Arabidopsis thaliana: one gene and its partners. The protein of the gene in region 1 interacts with the protein of each later gene in a pairwise test. Each region holds a gene or a part of one and is shown in the gene's direction. Other genes may lie near its edges. The genes, in order: AT5G38600, AT2G32840, AT2G43370 and AT2G39100.

What was found.
Region 2: the proteins of AT5G38600 (region 1) and AT2G32840 interact in a two-hybrid assay, tested with the Arabidopsis thaliana proteins (one large-scale study listed by BioGRID).
Region 3: the proteins of AT5G38600 (region 1) and AT2G43370 interact in a two-hybrid assay, tested with the Arabidopsis thaliana proteins (one large-scale study listed by BioGRID).
Region 4: the proteins of AT5G38600 (region 1) and AT2G39100 interact in a two-hybrid assay, tested with the Arabidopsis thaliana proteins (one large-scale study listed by BioGRID).

What each region holds. Positions count from the first base shown.
Region 1 is NC_003076.8:15,454,741-15,461,299, forward strand, and holds AT5G38600 (Proline-rich spliceosome-associated (PSP) family protein / zinc knuckle (CCHC-type) family protein), read left to right. Parts: upstream 1-1,814; 5' UTR 1,815-1,928; intron 1,929-2,580; 5' UTR 2,581-2,645; coding exon 2,646-2,961; coding exon of another isoform or gene 2,962-2,992; exon of another isoform or gene 2,993-3,369; coding exon of another isoform or gene 3,370-3,376; coding exon 3,377-3,458; intron 3,459-3,588; coding exon 3,589-3,664; intron 3,665-4,139; coding exon 4,140-4,220; intron 4,221-4,315; coding exon 4,316-4,452; intron 4,453-4,603; coding exon 4,604-4,862; intron 4,863-4,951; coding exon 4,952-5,015; intron 5,016-5,142; coding exon 5,143-5,726; 3' UTR 5,727-6,027; downstream 6,028-6,559. Other genes in the region: AT5G38610 (Plant invertase/pectin methylesterase inhibitor superfamily protein), read right to left, coding at 6,105-6,559.
Region 2 is NC_003071.7:13,932,304-13,936,660, reverse strand, and holds AT2G32840 (proline-rich family protein), read left to right. Parts: upstream 1-1,711; 5' UTR 1,712-1,824; coding exon 1,825-2,379; intron 2,380-2,622; coding exon 2,623-2,675; intron 2,676-2,765; coding exon 2,766-2,805; intron 2,806-2,902; coding exon 2,903-2,980; intron 2,981-3,083; coding exon 3,084-3,197; coding exon of another isoform or gene 3,198-3,233; exon of another isoform or gene 3,234-3,290; coding exon 3,291-3,370; intron 3,371-3,466; coding exon 3,467-3,560; 3' UTR 3,561-3,822; downstream 3,823-4,357. Other genes in the region: AT2G32850 (Protein kinase superfamily protein), read left to right, coding at 66-730, 827-1,213.
Region 3 is NC_003071.7:18,011,290-18,016,076, forward strand, and holds AT2G43370 (RNA-binding (RRM/RBD/RNP motifs) family protein), read left to right. Parts: upstream 1-1,978; 5' UTR 1,979-2,141; coding exon 2,142-2,289; intron 2,290-2,381; coding exon 2,382-2,479; intron 2,480-2,562; coding exon 2,563-2,614; intron 2,615-2,807; coding exon 2,808-2,878; intron 2,879-3,055; coding exon 3,056-3,146; intron 3,147-3,242; coding exon 3,243-3,318; intron 3,319-3,417; coding exon 3,418-3,496; intron 3,497-3,700; coding exon 3,701-4,087; 3' UTR 4,088-4,241; downstream 4,242-4,787. Other genes in the region: BIO2 (Radical SAM superfamily protein), read right to left, coding at 18-157, 328-533, 812-918, 1,135-1,314, 1,637-1,840.
Region 4 is NC_003071.7:16,315,452-16,319,936, forward strand, and holds AT2G39100 (RING/U-box superfamily protein), read left to right. Parts: upstream 1-1,904; 5' UTR 1,905-2,010; coding exon 2,011-2,381; intron 2,382-2,461; coding exon 2,462-2,599; intron 2,600-2,706; coding exon 2,707-2,761; intron 2,762-2,900; coding exon 2,901-3,157; intron 3,158-3,348; coding exon 3,349-3,418; 3' UTR 3,419-3,436; intron 3,437-3,543; 3' UTR 3,544-3,936; downstream 3,937-4,485. Other genes in the region: APC7 (tetratricopeptide repeat (TPR)-containing protein), read right to left, coding at 63-147, 272-381, 823-885, 981-1,115, 1,393-1,443, 1,535-1,603, 1,714-1,782; AT2G39110 (Protein kinase superfamily protein), read left to right, coding at 4,319-4,337.

The sequences.
Region 1 (6,559 bases):
TTGATCCAAGAAATGAAGGAAGATGAAAGGTGGAACAAAATGGAATTGAAGAGATGGAAATCGATGACCGGTTTGTGCTTGGTGTGCCTTTCTCTCTCAGTCATTGCAATTCTGATCATAATGTTCTATAAGAACAAAAACCGGAAGCTTGTTCTTGGTTACTAATCAGTCCTAGTGTTTACAAACCGAAAGCTTGTGTTTGTAATGAAATCCTTGTTCGGCTAATCAGTCCTAAATTTTTTAGTGATCAATCACTTTGAACCTGCCAAGTGCCAACACAAAATCACGAGATGTTTAATTTTAAGTGATCAATCTGTTTAAGAACCTGCTTAGTAGAACTTGTGTCACAAAGACAAGTCAAATCACATAATGAAATCGATTCAGGTTCGTCATCCTCCTCCTCTTCAACTCTCACTCTTTTTCGTTTTCGAAGCCTCTGTGATACCGGAGCTTCAACTCCGACAGAAGACTCTGCTACAACAACAGCCGGCAACGCTAGAACTCCACCATCAAACTCCATCTCCGGTGGAGCTCGAACTCCATCTCCGGTTTCAGCTTCTCGTCGTGGTGGAATAGGAGCAATGTCGACTTCGCCTTCCATTGCTAAGGCAATCACAACAAGATTAATCGAAGAACAAACACGATTTTACCAATGAGAGAATTAGGGATTTGGTTTGAGAGAATTAGGGATTTTGAGAGAATTAGGGATTGAGTTTTCGATTTGGGCGTTTTGATTTGTTTCGTTAGGTTTGAAACGACGGCGTTTTGGTCTTAACAGAATTCATTAACGTTCTCTTAACGGGGTTAATCAGCGAGTTAACGTCTCGGGATTTTGGCCAGGTCAACGTTTTATTTCTGTTAAAATGGCTGGTCAACGTATTTTTCATGTTTATTTTGGCCGACGTCAGAGTTCACGTATAAAATGACCACTTTTTGAAAGTTCGCGTATAAAACAACATTTTTCCCATTATAATTGGGTTTAGTTTCCTCAAGAAAATCGGTTAAATGAATAATAAACCGATAAACCCAAGATCGTGGGTTTCTAAATCTATAACTATTAATTCGAAAAATTTATACTGTATATTGAAATTTTTGTTAGGGGGAGAAATAGATAGAGAACTATTTTTTTGGGATATATAAATCGTTTTAATATGATATTATAGTTCTCGTAGATAAATAAATTGTTTTTTCCCTAATAATCTAAATCCATATATTACTTTAATTCCTAAGTTTAGAAATTTAATAGATTTTGTCGAGAAGAAGAAAAAAAAATCAATACAACAATAAAAAAACAATCGTTTAAGTGTTTAACGTCTTCTTCTTCTTTTCTTTTCTGGGTAAACACTTTCTTCTTCATCATCAAATTTATCATCAAAATCAAACTCAACATCACCTTTATATTCGCTATTAGCGAATCCAACATCATCTTCTTCGTATATTTAAAATTATATATCAAAATCTTTGACATATGATGTTTAAAATACAAATATATATATTACTTACCAACAGTCTATTTAATACGCTGCGAATATATTGTATACTTTTATCATGTGATACACTATTAATAAGTATCCTTTTTAATAATAAAAAAATCTACTAAAATTTCCTACCAATTAAAATTTTTCAATCTTCAAAAAAAGAAAAATACTTACCAAAAAAAAATAACCTAGTCAACTTACCAAATGATAGTCTTAAGAAAATCTTAATTAAAAAGAAAAACAAATCAGATAAACTTCTAAAAAGAAAATCCTTGTTAACACGCACCGTTTGGTATGTTGACTAATATTCACTGCGCTGCGTAGCATTGGATAGTCGTCTCTTCTAACACTTAAGTCTTAGGCGGATGAATAAAACAGTCTCTTCCTTTTGAATCTCACAGATCTATCTACTATCGCCATTCTTGCTTCTTCCCTCCTCCATTGACTAAGGTTAAGCCCTATCTCTATGTAAATCTCTCAATCTTCAAATTGCTTGTTTCTTGCTTCTTCTTTCTTCGTACCTTAAGAACATTTCACTACTTTTGAAAGATTTGTTGTTCCCGACGAAGCCTTGGTGTCGTTTCATCTCCTTCTTCAAATTTTTAAAAATTTCTCCAGTTTTTGCTTCGCGAGTATATGCTTTAGGTTTCGAATTGAGTAGATTAAGCTCTTGTTCACTGTTTTTGATTTGTCAAATCTTGAACCCTAGTTTTTTCACAAATTGATTAACAATGGATACGCAAGGTAATCTTGGAAGTTTAATTGTTTATTTAACTGTGTTCAAAGTTGAAACCCTAATTTTCTGGGTATGCGAATCGGGCTGGGATTGAAATTAATCGCTCTAGGAGCTGAGATTTTTCTTAGATTTGAGATATTGATTGCTTGTTTCTTCATTCTTAGCAATTACGTTAATCAAATGTTGAATTTTGTTGATTCTTTGCTTAACGGATCTAAAATCTTGTGTGGCTTGATTTGGATATGATTCTTTTTGGTCTTGAATATAGTGTTTGTATATATTTGTGTTCTATTTAATGTGTATGTTGTACTCTATTTAATGTGTATCTTGTTATTGCGTTTCTGATACTGTCGTTTCTTATTACAGGGTGTTTTTTATGGGTGGTTTGTGAAATTGTTTTGAGGATATAAAGATTTCAATTTTGTTTGAAAATGGAAACTGAGGATGTGCTTGACATACCAGCTTCAAGCAATTTTGGCTCTGAAGTAAAGAAAAATAGCCTTGAATCTGGGAATGGGTCACCTGAGGCTAATTCTTTAGTTGGTAATGATGAGAATGTGAAAGGAAATTTAGATTTGGATTTAACAGAAGAGAATTTGAGAATTGTCGGTGGCCAAGAGTCTGGGGAAATACTAACAGAGCAGGTTAGTGATGTGTTCAATGCGAGTGTGGAAAGTGTGGCGGTAGATGAGAAATTGGGTATCCAAAAGGAGACACTAGTTCACAGCACCACTTTGGATGTTAGTTGTATCCTTTCTTTTGCTCTACTATATTGAAGGTTGCTTGCTTTCCCTGACCTTTTTTTTGTGATAACTGATAAGACATGGCACTTGATCTGTTTCTGTAATTATTTGCTGCTCAGACTTGATGTCTATCATTATGTTATCTTCTGATACGAGACTATGGTTAGGTTGATTAGGTCACGGTTAGGACGGTTTAATTAATTAGTTTTGGTGTTATGAGTTTCTTTCAATCATGGGTTTTGGAAGTCTTACTTTTAGCATTAGGTTTGATGTTACTTTTTACACAATGTATTGTGGCCTAATTCTCTAAGAGAGAGTTGGGTTGAAGGGAAGCTTTTGCTTAAATCATTCTTATCTTTTACGTTTATATAAGGTTCATATCATCTTCTTCTGTTTTTTTCCGTAATTCCTTATGTCAGCTAAAGCGGGTGTTAAAAGACCCCGAACATCGTATGACGAACAGCAGCCTACAGTCCATGTTACTTATAAGCACTTAACGAGGTTAGAAAAAAAGAGTCATGACTCAACTACATGTAATTTTAAATTGCATGAAATGCTCAAGCATTTCTGTTATTATGTGATTCCTAGCTTTACCACATTGTTTTAATTGTTAGTGTACTGCATCTTTCAGAGCTAGTAAGCAGAAGCTGGAAAGTTTATTACAGAAATGGTCAGAATGGGAGGCTGAAAATACGTCCTTGGCTCAGGTATCTCTTAATGGAGAAGGTTATCTTACTCTCAAAAATGTTATTTGTAGCGAATATAATAGTGACTATTATCATCTTTCAATATTTGATCAATTAACATTTTGTTAAGAGAATCATTATTAGATATCGAGTTTAATAAGTGTGCAAGAATATGATACTAGATTATTTATCATATAAAGTATCTATTATCATGCTCATGCATGCTGTAGCTCTCCAATATTCTATCCTTGCTTTAGATAGGCCTTAGCCATATTAATACTGAGATATCGACTATTTGTTGATGTAAAACAGAACTAGCATTTACTAAGGTATGTTTATCATAGTCCCTAATACTGAACTCTTTTAGTTTATATGATAAGAATTCATACTTTACATGGGGAAATTGTTTGTTGGCTAGGTTTATATTCGAATAAAGTTTTTGACTTATCATATATGAAACTTTAAGGTAGAATCTTTTCATTGGTTGTGTGCTCAGGATCAAGAACAACTATTCGAATCTGGTGAAGAGACATGTTTCCCCGCCATACGTGTTGGATTGCAGAAGACTTCGTCTGTGGTGAGTGAAAATGTTGTCAACGCTATTAAAAGTTCTTAACTATTCATATCAGTAATCTTCATGACATGCCAATTGGTGCTTTTTTGCATATGCAGTCATTCTGGATCGACAACCAAACTGGTCATAAGCCGTTGGAAGATTTTGTTCTAGTGGAAAGTAGCACCACTCCTCTTTATGACCGTAAATTTGCTATAGGTTTAAATTCAGCAGATGGCTCAAGAAACGTGGAAGGGTATATTGAATCTATATTTGTAACAACTTCCACAGATCCTTTAATTCTGCTTTGCTTACATTTGCTGTAGAATAACTTAGCAGTGAATGTTATAATGGTCTTGCAATGGGTGGTGCATTCATGTAACAGTTAATGTAATTTATTGTTTCAGGGGATTGGAGATTATTGATGATGATCCTCCACGTTGCTTCAATTGTGGTGGCTATAGTCATTCTCTAAGAGAATGTCCAAGGCCTTTTGATCGATCAGCGGTTAATAGTGCTCGGAAGCTTCAGAAATCTAAACGAAATCAGAATAGTAGTGGGCCCCGTCTACCATCAAGATATTATCAAAAAACTCAAACTGGAAAGTATGATGGCTTGAAACCCGGCACACTTGATGCAGAGACTCGTCAGCTTCTGAATCTGGGGGTAATTTTGAACCTTTTCTTTCTGTGTATAGGTTCTTACCAATATGCTCGATTTCAGATTTCTTAGATCATTGCTTTCCTTTTGTGAAGGAACTAGACCCTCCTCCGTGGCTAAACAGAATGCGAGAAATTGGGTACCCACCAGGATACTTAGGTAAGCTTTCTGCTCTGTTTTATTAGCATTCATGGACATGGAAAAGAAGTGGATTTTGTTGGTATCGCACAAGAGCTAAACTAAACTAGATGTTCTCACACTTTCCATTGTGTGCTTATGTCTCTAGCTCCAGAAGATGATCATTTGTCTGGAATAACTATATTCGGAGAAGAGGTGGAGACTCGGGAGGAGATAGAGAGTGAGGATGGGGAAATTTTGGAAAAAGCAAACCATCCTCCAGAGCCACAAATGAAAAAGACCGTCGAGTTTCCGGGAATTAACGCTCCCTTCCCAGAAAACGCAGATGAGTGGCTTTGGGAAGCTGCACCTTCACATAGGAACAGCAGCAGAAGCGGCCGATGGCAACAACAAAAAACAAGCAGAGGACATGATTACAGAGACGATGGTCCGCTCGGCGTTGAACCATCAAGTTATCCTCCAAGGTATGGCAGTAGATATGATTACGGGTATGGTTCAAACGAATATGGTTCTAGGTCAAGAAGTCCAGGCATAGATAGATCTTTATCCGAAAGAAGTAAGAGGGATTATTCTTCTTACGATGCTGACTTCCGGGAGAGAGATAGAGATAGAGACAGGAACAGGGATAGGGATAGAGACAGAGACTGGGATAGGGACAGGGACAGAGACTGCGATAGAGACAGGGACAGGGACGATCGTGATTGGTCTTATAGATTAAGCAGCAGGAGATAAATTGTGAGACTTTTAGCTGTGTATGTGTGTATGTGGAGGTTAGGGTTCAATTTTTTTCTACATTCTCTCTTTCCCTCTATGCTGTTGTATCATGTCCATGAAAGTGGAAGCTTTCTTCTAGTTATCAGACTTTAGATGTTTTAGATTTAATTTCCTCTTCCAAGTTTCTTTCGAAGCTTTAAGGTTTTACTATTTTGGGTATGTCTTCACTTCTTAAAATGGAAAGTTAGTTACTCATGTTTCTTATTAGTTGATGTTTTGGAAATGTTTACACAAAGATATAAACACATTATTTGTGAACATTAATACATTTATCTTTATCCTTTTGTCGTTTTCGATACAAACAAAAGCCTAAACAGCTAAAAGATTGAAAACGATTTAGAAAGATAGAGATGTGACAGAAGAAGAGAGCATATTGAATATACAAAGAGCAATCTGACCAAACTCAAACAATTTGTGATTCTCATCACCAATAGGAGACGTCCACGTCGTCACACCTCCACCACCACCGTCACCGTCGTCTCTTTCCCTGAATCCATTCTCACAAGTCACGGCGGATTCCATGGCGGCGCTTACCATCACATTAACCGTACCTAACTCTTTCCTTGTAATAAAAACTCTCACTGCCTCCTCCAATCTATCCGTCGCGTCCTCGTAAAGCTCGAGGCAGTCACGGAGGCAAGCACTGCGGAAACTACCGTCGTCGTCGCTTATAAGAAGCTGTTGAATGGTGGAAGCTGTTGCGGTGGCGTTGTCGAGAGCTTGGAGCATTGGAACAAGGGCAAGAGAAGAAAGATTGGTCGGAGAAGGAAGAGCTATTGGAGAGTTGTTGA
Region 2 (4,357 bases), on another chromosome or scaffold:
AACCTATTTTGGATAGCTTCTCAAAGAAAGATGTGATTTCTTTTGATCCTTATGAATTTTGACAGGCTCATCAAAATCAGCAACTAAACCTTCTCCAGCACCTCGTAGAAGTCCGCCACCGCCGCCACCATCTTCTGGAGAATCAGATAGTGGAGGACCGCTCGGTGCCTTTTGGGCGACTCAGCATGCTAAAACCTCAGTTGTATCAGAAGATAACAAAAACATGCCTAAATTTGATGAACCAAACAGTAACACATCTAAATCTGAAAGAGTTCGTGTGGATAGTCATCAACCCAAAAAACCAAGTCCTGTGAGAGGAGAGGCTCGTGGTATTCAAAGAAATAAAGATCTTGAAACTACGATTTCTCAGAAGAATACAACTCCTGCTGCAGCCAATAACATGACAAGAGTGTCCAAGGATGATGCCTTCAACTCGTTTGTTGCTGACTTTGATACCACAAAGTTCGATAATGGTAATAAACCTGGCAAAGAAGAGGCATTGGAAGCTGAGATACAGAGGTTAAAAGACGAGTTGAAGCAAACAAAATCAGAGAAGGCAGAAATAACTGCTAAGTTTGAAAAGCTTTCTGCTATCTGCAGATCGCAAAGGCAAGAGTTGCAGGATCTCAAACAAACACTTGCCTCTAAAAGTGCCTCACCGTCACCGAGCAGAGACTCTTCACAAAATCAACCCTCTCCAGGGATGCATTCCATGTCATCAACTCCATCGGTATTATTCTTGGTTCTTGTTCATCTAAGCTTAGACACCCATACAAAAGTCTTCATCAATGTATATCTTAGAATTCTAATGTTCTTGATGAAACAGAGAGATAAGATGGAAGGAACAATGTGGGAACTTCAACAGGACAGATCTAACTGGTCAACTGGCAGCTCTGATACAAATTCATGGCAACCTTTTAGTGATGAAGCGAAACCCGTGATGGAATCTGCATCAAAGGGTAACAATAATACGATTAATCAGTCTGTGAGAACCAGAAGTAAACCAGCTTCTGCTGCAGGTACTCAAGGTTTTGAGCCATGGGGTTTCGAGACAGAATCCTTTAGAGCCGCTGCAACGTCTGCAGCTGCTACTTCTGCATCTGGAACACAAAGATCTATGGGCTCTGGAAACAGCACTTCACAGAGATATGGGAACTCAAAGATGAGAGAAAACCAGAAAACAGCTCAACCTGCTGGATGGGCCGGCTTCTAAAACTCACTCAGATGCGCATTGCTATTTCTTCCTCATGCAACAACAACAGCTTCATGTTGCTGCCATTACAGAATCTTGAATCTTTTTGTAGATGATGATCATCCCCTGTTTTTGTGCTGCTGCTAAATATACCCCACCCATATCCATTATGTTTTATGTAGAGTCTTAAACTTTACACATTCTCTGAGCTGTGGCCAGATATCTCAGCTTATGGATTATTATTGGAAAAATAAATAATTCAAGATTCAGACAGCTTACACTTCTTTCTGTGAAACTTAGAACTAAGGTCACATTTAATACCGAACCCAACCATACGATGGCTGCATTATGGTTTAAATGTTACCCAAAAAGATTTCAGCCGTAACTAAATCAGCATTTTAAAATCCTGGATTAATTTTCGTTAATGTAAATCTCACATTGAACCGGACCCGAGTAGAAAAAAGTAAAAAACCGAACCAAAACATTAAATACCGAGCCCTAGTTTAGTTAGTTAGAAGGAACTTAAAAAGAGTTCGTGTCCTGAAAATCAAAGAAAAAGCTACCAAATTTTGAATCGTTGTCTTTAACTTGATTTTCCCCAAATTTCTCAGAAATCAAAATCCGCCGGAACAATGTCTACTCCCGATCCCAATCCCAATCCAAATCCAAATCCTTCCGTCTCTGTAGCAGTATCGACTCCAATCGTCACCGCATCTGAATCTCCGGTGACACAACCTAACACAGTCATAACGCCGTCGTCTCAACCTCAACCTCAAACACCAGCTTCGTCGTACAGAGCCATAGCTCCGCTTCATCGTCATCATCCTCATCAAAATATCTACACTAACCCTTTACCGATTAGGCGTTCGAATTCCGTTACTAATTCGCCTCATCAGCCTCCTCACCCAGACCCGTCTAGTCTGATATACCCGTTTGGTTCTTCGGGTCGAGGGTTTCCGACCCGACCCGTTAGACAGAATTCCAATTCCGTCGCTGATCCAGTTGGTAGTCCTAGTCCAGGTGGGTATACTCCTCGAGGGCCAGTTTACGGATACCACCATGGCCAATTCGTGTCGAATTTGGATCCAATGAATCAGTTCATGAGAGCTGCACATCCTCAGAATCAACAATCTCCTCAACTTGGTTCCGGTCATATGAAAGGAGTTCCTCATTTTTTGCAACCTCGGGTTAGTTATCGTTTTCGTTACCAAAACAAGTTTGAATCTTTTTGTTTAATTCCATAGTTTTGTCAAGTGTTTTTTTTGTAGCTTGTGCTAGTTAGTGAAAATGTGTATGTTGAAGTGAAGATTATTTGCTTTGGTGATTGTAGAATTCGAATAGCAATCTCTAATGAATTAGGAAAGGTTGAAACTTCTGTTAGATATTTGTGTGAGGTTACATTTTGTAAATTTTGGATTTTTGATTGTTAGGCTACTCCTTCTCCAACTTCAATTCTAGACAACAGTGGGCATAAGAAGGCCAGGTACTTTATCTTCTTTGCCATTATGCTTTGTTAATTAGAAACTACTCTAGAAACTTAATAATGTCTCTGTTTCGTTTCCATGGTGTTTAGGAGCCGGGATGATGCTCTGGTCCTCGTTAGAAAAAGAAAGGTATAGTTTTATCCTTGTTTTTTGGTTTTGCATTATCGTTCGAAACCGCTTGCTTCGCCATTTGAGGAATTTTAAATACTTTTTATTTGTTCTGCAGGTTAGAATAACCGAGGGAGCTTCTTTATACTCGCTGTGTCGATCTTGGTTGAGAAATGGTGCTCATGAGGGAATTAAGGTTCGTATCCATTTCTTATTTCTGCTTTGTAGTATAATGCAACACTTGGATTTTTGTATATCTATTCTTGATATCTTTGGAAGATTAATGACGTTGTTTACAGCCGCAGCGAATTGATATGATGACATGTTTGCCAAAGCCTTTACCTGTGGACAAGACGGAGACAAGTTTGCCAAAAGATTTAGTTGAAGAAGCAATTTGCGAAGAAGACAAAGAGGTTTCGTGTTTCTCTGATTTCTTTCTAAAATGGTAATTGTGAAGGGTAAAGCTAAGTTTGATTATTTACTTCAACTCTCTTGATGAGCTTCAGGACGAGGAATCTGTGAAACATTTGTCAGAATCTGATCTTTTGAAAAGACATATAGACCGAGCTAAGAAGGTCCGCGCTCGGTGAGTCCCACAACATATCATCAAAGCTAAGTTCGATGGTTGAAGATTGAATATTTTTTGTTTTGAACAAAATTGTGTGGTTTGTTTTGTTTGCAGATTGAGAGAAGAACGGTTAAAGAGAATCGCGAGGTACAAGGCAAGATTGGCTCTTCTTCTGCCACCCTTTGGAGAGCAATGCAGGAACGAGTAATGATTTTAAAGTTAGGGACTTCGGTGTGAATATACTTGCAGTTGATTTAGAAATGACATAAATTATCTTAGAGCCAGAGTTATGTCTTATGTCTGTGTGTAATATAAGAAAGATTTTCTCTGAATTTTCGTCATACACTCGTATTAGATGATTCTAAACTAATCAACAATCTCAAGATTTTCTGAGATGGTTAACTTATATAGCTCTTATCTTTTTTTTTTTTCAAGAACACCTAGTAGTTCTTGGACAAGTAAAATTTTCAATATAGTATTCGGTCATGGTGGGTCGACCATGTTTTGAACGCTGGATCGATCATCATGTGGTCGGACGATCATAATTTCAGAGATTGATCGACCATCCTTGGAAGCACGAACACATTTAGTCATGTGTTTGAATTTTCTTTTATCTTATTTGTTTCCAACTCCCAAATGATACGAAATGTCACAAAAACTCTTAAAATCACTACATAATCTAAGACTTCCTAAGACACAAATACTCCTATGGACATTAAAACAAGATTTTATCAACAGTGAAGCCATATTATCATCACTGTAGTTCTGAAAATGCCATATTGCCCAAAGTCTTTTCTAGCTAGTATGCCATAGTGGCTAACATCTTCTTCTTTCTTTTCATCTCTCTAAATAAGCAAAAAATTGAGAGGCTTTCTCTTCCTCTTCTATTCCTCTCCAACATAGTATTCATTCTCTCCTCATCTCATCTCTTGTTTCTTTTCAGCCGGAGCTTGTGCCGATGGTTCTACGTCGATCTCACTCTCTCAACGACGAAGAAAACATCCC
Region 3 (4,787 bases), on another chromosome or scaffold:
AGATTGTGGAGATATACCTTCTGGTCTTCAAGAGGAGTGCCTTTCACTGCAAGTAGAGCATTAATGGGAACACTCTCAGGGTGAGAAGGAAGTGTTGCCAGCGTGTGTAATAAACCTATTCTGTCTTCCTCTGCCTCACCAAGCCCTATGATTCCTCCTGTTTATCGGTAAAAGAAAACACTTGAGAACATGTCGTATCTATGGATTTATCAAAATCAACGAATATTACAAAACTGTGAGTCTAATGACCAAGCTGAAGACAGGTTTCAATCCTTTAGTTCTATAGAATTGAGGCATACAAGAATACTATTTTCATATCAAAGTTACCTGAACAAACGTTGATTCCAGCATCACGAACATGGCTAAGAGTTTCAAGGCGATCGTCATAACTTCTAGTAGTGATGACGTTTGGGTAGTACTCTCTTGAAGTATCAAGATTGTGGTTATAAGCAGTGAGGCCAGCCTTCTTTAGCTCTAGTGCTTGTTGTTTCTCAATCATGCCTAAGGTGCAGCAAACTTCCATCCCCATGCCTCTGTTTTAAAGTGAGAGCCCAGAAAGTTAGTAAACACATTCAGCCAGACACCATCATCAACATCATATTCATTCTGCTCACGGATACATCAAGTACACTTTGAAATTTTCACTTTAGTTTGACATGCAAAAATGTTCATTCTAGAACCATTAATGATCGGTTCGGTGGGTTATCTTTTAAGTTAGCTTAGATTCAGAAGCAGCTGAAAAAGGGATCATATAATGTAGTATAAACAAGGAAATTCAAAGTTCAACTTAAAAAGCATAATAGTAAGGTACCTTATTTCTTTGATGTATTCAAGAATCTGGCTGAAGTTGGTTTTCCGTCCAATTGTATCTCGCCAAGCAGCACCCATGCAAAAACGTGTGCTCCCAGCTTCTTTTGCCTAACAACACATCAAATTTGTTAATTCAAATCAGAAGAGCTCATTACATCGTCAAAATGCTTCATTAAACAATTAGAGTCTTTTGGATAGAGATAGAGCTCGGATTGATAAAAACAACGTTTTGGTACATAGTAATGCATGTCCCCTTCTTCTTGATACATTCTGCTAAGGATTCTACATTCAGCAAAAATAAACATTCACAAGAAAAGTGCAAACCTTCTTAGCAGCATCAATGACAGCGTCCTTAGACATGAGTCTTTGTGCCTTAACTCCAGTGCTATATCTCGAAGACTGAGGACAATATGAACAGTCTTCACTACAGCCACCAGTCTTTATGGAGAGGAGGGTACATTGTTGTACCTCCCTGAAGTTATGAACATGTCTATGAACCTGAGCCTGAAACCCAAAGAGTCCACACACCATCGTTATTCAAGTAAAAGACAACTGATAACGAGATCAGATGAGCAACCAAATGAATAATACCTAGCTCAATAGACATTACAAAGACACTAAAATCCGGGAAATTAAGACAAATGTTTCAAAGAGAACAAACATGTTCTGGGTTAAACTAAAAATCGATACTTTCCACCAATAATTTAACAGAAACCCAAAGCTTTCTACTTCAAATTTGTGATTTAGAGTAGCTAGAACAACAAAGAGAAGAGTAAGTGAGAGAGAGAGAGAGAGAGAGAGAGAGAGAAGAAGAAGGGTAAATTACTCCATGGAAGAGGAGGTCAAGAAGAGGAGAATCATAAACAGACTTGATTTCATCTCTACTCCAATCGTTTCTGGGACCTTCTCTGATAGTCCTCTCAGCTTCAGCTGAAGCAGCAGATAATGAAGAATAGCAAGAAGCAGATTGCAGACCACCCGAGACAGAGGGTCGCAACTGAGATCGAAATACAGATCGAACAAGCATCATTTGATCTGCTAATCAGAAAATGTGGAAAAAGAAGAAGAAGAAGAAATGAGATTTGGTGTTTGGTTTGTGCTAGAGCTTTTCACTCTTCAGTGAGTGATTCACCTAACCCAAAGCAGCCACCGTTGGAGTTTCCGCCTTCGTGTGGGACCTACGAGAATATCATATATCTTTAACTGGGCTGTAATAAGCCCAATTTATATGTTGGGCTTTTTAATAGTAATCAATTCAAACGACGACGTTATTCTTTATTTCCTTAAACAGCCGGAGCCGCCGTGAGAGAGAGAGAGTCGGGGGAGAAGAAATGAGCGGCGGAGGAAACAACGTCGTGAACAAAGTGTTCTACGCGACGTCGTATCATCCGATTCAAGCCGGAAGTATCGACGGAACTGATGTTGCTCCACATGATAACGGCGTCCGTCGAGCTCTTCTCTGTTATAACGCTGGCTTATGTATGTATACTCTCTCGTTCTCTCTGCTCCTCTTTTCACTTTTATCGTTTGGTTTCTGAATTCAAATACATTGATTTGGGTTGTTTTGAAAGATGATCCTTCTGGTGATTCGAAGGCTGTTGGAGATCCTTACTGTACTCTCTTCGTGGGTCGTCTCTCTCATCACACTACGGAGGATACACTTCGAGAGGTTAATGATTGAAATTTCACTTAGTTTTTGATTTTCGTGTAGACTATGTTTTGAATATGATTATAAAAGTTTCTTCTTCGTAGGTGATGAGTAAGTATGGCAGGATTAAGAACTTGCGCTTGGTAAGACACATTGGTAAGATTTTGCAATTGCTCTACTTATGACATCAACACTTTGCTTTATCTTTAGGAAATTTATCATCTTTCTATTTCTGATGGTTTGTTACTTTCTACCAAGATATTTGTCTAAGCAGAACTGTGATTACATATTTCCTCTAAGTTCCACATTGTGTAGTATTGAGTCTCCTCTTCTTGTTACCTTTTTTTAGTGACGGGAGCTTCACGAGGATATGGTTTTGTGGAGTATGAGACTGAAAAGGAGATGCTTCGTGCTTATGAGGTGCTGTGATACTAAATTGCATTTTCTTTTTACCTCTTGTTTTTGTTGTTGAAAGCTGTCTGAACCACTTACTAAGGCACCGCAATGTGATTGTTTCATTAACATCTCCGTGTAATTACTGGAAACTAGTGGAGTTTGTTTATCAGAGTGAGAATTTTTTTGGTGTTTCTTTAGCAGGATGCTCATCATTCACTAATAGATGGGCGAGAGATTATTGTTGATTATAATAGACAGCAATTGATGCCTGGATGGATACCAAGAAGACTAGGTTTGCCATTCTTTACCTTTATTTTTGTCTGTAATGAAATGTCATAGGCGTTATATTTTCATCCCTTACAGATGAAATCTATTTCTCTCTTAACAGGAGGTGGCCTTGGTGGTAGGAAAGAATCCGGACAACTTCGCTTTGGAGGACGAGATAGACCATTCCGTGCTCCCTTGTATGGTTTTGCTTTACTCTTCCTTTAGCATGTCCAGAGATAACACCAGCTAAACATAGTGGTCATGAAATGGGCATTCTTTCTATTTGTTAATATCAGACGACCAATCCCTCATGAAGATTTGAAAAAGCTCGGTATTCAGCTTCCGCCTGAGGGAAGATATATGTCGCGCACACAGGTCTACCATGTCTTGAACTTCACCACCACTCTATAGTCATTTGAACTTTACCCCTGTTCTGTCTCTGGTGCTATCTTATTGGGTCATTTGTTAATGTTCTTCTGCTAGAAATAATATATTAAATGGGTTGTTCAATGTGTCTAGTGGAAAGCTGATAGTTTGTAAACTAAAATCTTGGTACCACAACTTACTTGTTGGATGCAGATCCCATCACCTCCAAGGAGAAAAGGAAGTGTGTCGGATAGAGAGGAAGAATATTATCGGGAAAAGAGTTCTGTAGAACGGGAAGAAGAGTTTAAAGAGCGAAGCAGCCTTAGGTCATATCACAGTCACAGGTCGAGCGCACACACACACAGTTCTCATAGAAGACGCAGCAAAGACAGAGAGGAGTGTTCCAGGGAAGAGTCCCGTTCTGATAGAAAAGAGAGAGCACGAGGTATGGAAGATCGATATGGTGACAACAAGGGTGAAGTTTCTGGCAGCAAAAGATCAAAACGTTCTGAAGAAGACCGATCTCGCAAACGTCATAAACACTTGCCTTCCCATCATCATAGGAGGTCCTATAGTCAAGATCATCATTCTTCCGACTAAGTAATCATATTGTAAAAAAAATAACAATAATATTTGGTGTTACAGATTTTTTTTTAATAATATTTGGTGTTAGAGACTTTTAAGAGTGCCTTTTGAACCAAAGAAAAAAAAAGTGTAGTGTATGTTAATCAAATATAGCAAAACAGAAATTGTCTTTTTTTTTTAGTTACAAACAAGATATTTGTTTTGCAATTAACATGAGTGAATTGTCTTTATATCTTAAATTATGGCCGTATAGATTTGATTGTTAAGATATAAAAAAATTTGGGATGATGCAATTTGTAATTTATCTAAATGGATAAAATAGTTCATCAAATATTATTATTTTTATGAACTATGACATTACAGTTGGATTTGTTTCTGTAGTTTATCTTATATTTCTTTTTTTAGAACTAATGAACTATTATTATCTTATATTTTGTTTTGTATTGAATTTGTTCGAATATAAAAACTCACATTTGATGTTGAAATAGAGATTTAGTTTGTCTGTGTAGATACTAGATAGTTGTTGTATCAACAGACAGAATTGAAACTTGGTTTCAGATTCTTGTTTTGTTTATTCAAACTCACTTTGATTTGATTGTATTTGTACCTCTCATGAATTGTCTATTAGGAGGATAGAGAGTCGCCTCAGATTGACTAGAGACAATGTCATTCTCGTACTCGTTGCATGCAAGTGGAATAAAAGTCAAATTATCCG
Region 4 (4,485 bases), on another chromosome or scaffold:
AGAGAAAGAGGTGCAAAACACATTTGAAGAAGTGGTGAAAGAAATCTCGTAGAAAGGGACACCTGAGTAAACGATGATATGATATCCTTTGCACTAACTCCCAGTTCAGCTAAACCTATGACGGCTTCAAGTACATAAGGACACTGCCTGCAGAGATTAAAGATTATATATATGTTTACTATGTGTTGAATTGGTATTTAACGTAAAAAGTGAGATATTATAACAGTGTTTCTATGCTAGGAAATGTTGGGAAAGAAAACGAAAAACAGACCTTAAACACTCTTTATAAAAAGCAATAGCACCACGGTTGTATCCAGAATTTCGATGAAGCTTTGCCATCAGTATATTCATCTCTAAGCTCCTGGTCTTGACAGATTCCATCTGGCAAAGAAATAACAAGTGCAAAAATAGATTATAGCTAAGCAGACCATGGCTTTATCATCCCTAATACCTACATGCAGTGTTGGAAGGAATCCAATTAGTTTACTTGTTTTGTAATATGGATTTGCATTGATGGGAGCAGGTCAACGCAACAAAATTCAACTCACATTCAGGAATACTATAACAATGCATTAGTTACGGCCCAAGAATGTTTCACTGAAATTACAGTTACTTAACTCTGGTTATAAAATACAATAGCAAGACATAAAAGTCATCCTATACAAAACCAATCTATAATCTTAGAAATAGAGAAATCCCTAGACAGCTCTTTTACCGTCTCATACACACATATTTTATTTTCTATATACCAAAGTTTCTAGACCAACAAATCCAGAAGACTAAATAAATCTTGAAAACCAGACAAACAGATGACACTCATACCTCAGCAATCGCAGCTTTTGTTTCATTAAGAGCAAAGTGAGATGAAGCAATCTTGAATCTCACCTAAAAGGAAAGTTAGAAAAAGAAGATGCACATGAACTCCAATGAAATTAAACCAAACCACATCACTTTCTGGAAACTGCAACACAGTTATTTACCTCGTTCTCATTAATAGCAGAAATGCTGGAGGCATTCACAGATGATCTGGTAGATAAAGATAATGAACTCCTCGAAATACCGGAGCTTTGCTTCGGAATCCTTGTGTAATGATGCAACGCTTGCTTGTACGTATGCTGACAAAAAGAAGGAATACATATTCAGAATTTCGAGATGACTTCAAAGTAATCCACAGGAAAAGAATAAGCAATACAAATATAAAACTTATCTCTGCTCACTCCATAAATTCATATAATCAGAATCTTTACAATTTTATCATAATCCAGTCAAATTCAAGTTCCGAGAATGATTTATAGAGTTCAAATTTGAGGCAGAACTAAACTATCGAGAACTGAGTAACATTTCCTTCACAGCAAAAGAGAAACATAAAGAATGAAACTTTTGAGAACTTACAATAGCTCTCCGGTGTTCTCTCTGATGAAATAAAGCATCACCCAGTAGAATCTGATTAAAAAACACAGAAAGAATCTAACTTCAATCTAACGGACTCAGCAGCTACTAAAATAGAAAATATCGACGGAGAAAGAAGCTTAACCAAATTCTCCGCCTTGAGCTGAGGACTAGTTTCGGCACTAACAGTAGGAGAAGAAACGAGAAAGCAGCCCTGGATTTAGTTGCATATATAGAGAGAATTTCATTAGCTCTTGATGAAAACTAGGGATTTAGAAAAAAAGAGATAGACAATCAAAATGAGCTAAAAGCTAGAGAAGTTACGAGCATTTCAGCAGAATCGTAAAGCCCATGCTCTATTAAAGTCGCGATCTGCTCCTTTGGAACCTCCATTTCAGAGACAAGAGAGTTCGTCGTTAGTGGCAATGGTGAAGTTTTTTCTTCGGAGCAGCGATGAAGTAAAAGATCCTTCACGCTCGCTCTTCATTTTGAAACAAGAAATCTCGAACCGAGTCAACCCAAACCGACATTAACCGGTTATCTATCTGAAATCCATCTCGGTTCATTAAAACCCGACTTTTCCAAGAGCCCGACTTCACCGAACAATCTCTATCTCCGGTCATGCCTCCATTACCGTCCTCCACGGCGCCTTCGTCTTCGAGACATCTTCGATCGCCGGAAAGTATCGCGAAATTTGCAGGGAGAGCAATATTTCCTGCTTTACAGGGGAAATCGTGTCCGATATGCCTCGAAAATCTAACCGAGCGAAGATCCGCCGCCGTGATCACGGTGTGCAAGCACGGATACTGCCTTGCTTGTATTCGGAAGTGGAGCAGCTTCAAGAGGAATTGTCCTCTTTGTAACACTCGTTTTGATTCCTGGTTTATCGTTAGTGATTTTGCTTCTAGAAAATACCATAAGGAGCAATTACCAATTCTTCGTGATCGTGAGACTTTAACTTATCATCGGAATAATCCTTCCGATCGCCGGAGGTTATCTCTCTCTCTAAGATCCTCTCTATGAAGTTAAAAATCACTTCTTTATTATATTCACTTGGTTATTATTTCATTAGGATAATTCAAAGGTCGAGGGATGTTTTGGAAAACTCTAGCTCAAGATCAAGGCCATTGCCATGGCGGAGATCATTTGGACGACCAGGTTCAGTTCCTGATTCTGTTATCTTCCAGCGAAAGCTTCAGTGGCGAGCTAGGTTGGTTTACTATTGATTCTAACTCTATAGCTTCATTTGCAATCTCCTTTTTCGAAGTGTTAGATTAGTTCGCCGTTGTTTCTAACTAGTGTTGGCTCTAAATACAGCATATACACTAAGCAATTACGAGCTGTTCGATTACATTCAAGGCGCTTGGAACTAGTAAGTTTCATTATACAATGTGTTCTTCTCTGTTTGATGTTTGTAGTATTGGGGTTTACACTCTTACATTATTGGATATATGTTCACATTGGAAGCCTTATATATACCTGCTTCGTTGTGTCATCTTGGATTATTGTAGAGTTTGGCGGTGAATGATTACACCAAAGCAAAGATAACTGAAAGAATTGAGCCATGGATTAGAAGAGAGCTTCAGGCAGTCCTTGGAGATCCTGATCCCTCAGTTATTGTTCATTTTGCGTCAGCTCTTTTCATCAAAAGGCTTGAGAGAGAGAATAATCGACAAACCGGGCAGACCGGGATGTTGGTGGAAGATGAAGTCTCCTCTCTTCGAAAATTCTTGTCTGATAAGGTGGATATATTTTGGCATGAACTAAGGTAAGATTTTTATACGCTAGGGTTTTTTCAGAGTTTCAAGTAGTTACAGGTTTAGTATAGTAGTACAGAAAACACATAGGCAACCTAAACCTAGTGACTTGTAAGTCTGAACAGATGATAGAGCTGATATCTGTTTGGTTTAGGTTTTTTGGTCATATACTATTTCTGATGAGAAAGAAAACATTTTTCAGATGTTTTGCGGAGAGTATACTCACGATGGAGACTTATGATGCAGTGGTTGAATACAATGAGGTGGAGTAATAGCAGTAAAAAAAACAGGTAAAGAAATTAGGATATGTATTATGTGGGTTTGGTTTCACTAAGTAGGAACCTGTTTTGCTTCGATGGTTTTTTTTCTGAAGTCATTATGTTGTATTCGCTTGCAGATAACCGAGCACTATGCTCTCGTCAAATGAAGTAAATAGACAGACTTACAACGCGACTGTTGGTGTCTTGGAAGTTCAATAGTGGAAAGACTGGACCAAGTAAGAGAAACCAAGAGTTAAAGAGTAGGTAGGAGGAAGATGTTGAGATGATGCAAGTTTAGGTGTGGAGTTAGTTTTGAGATAGCTATAGGTGGATTCTCAAATAGCTGACACTTAGTCTCTCTACTTCCATAATGTACGTCTCTTCTATACCAAAAATTCTCACCCCCAAAGTTTCTTTCCAACGCTTTTCCTCACCTCATCATTTTTTCTTACGTTTCGAGTACCACCTATTTCAACAACATTAAATATTTTCTATAATTTGACTATCAATTTTTAATAAATTAAAACTATACATAGTTTTAGATAAATTACACGAAGCTTCCATAGAAGAGGAAAGTTCATTTGAATTTCTCTTCTAAACCGTACCTTAAAGATTAAATGGTGAATATACACGGGGAAATTTTTTTAATAAACAACGCGTTCTCTATTAAGGTATTGATTGATATAAGTAAGCAAGCGGGTGTAACACAAAATAAAATATTATAAAAGGCTTCTTCTATAGGTTGGTAAGCGGCAATCCAGCTGCCATTGCCTATTTGACTTCCCCCATTCGATCATGGTGAGCTCGTCTTCTCTCTTCTCCTCTTATCTCTTTCTCTACCATTTTCTTTTGCTTTAAAGCTCTCTCAATCATGATCATGAAGACCCCCATCACAGCATTCCATTCATCCTCATGAATAATTCTACATCAGGTTTCTTCTCTTTCCCTTTCTGATTCTCAACACTCTTACCACATTTCTACTTTTGTGTTGTATATCGATTTTTGTTCTACATTCTTCCAAATGTCAGGGAATCTAGTTGAAATGTGATGATTTTTGTGTTGATAACTTGATATCTGGT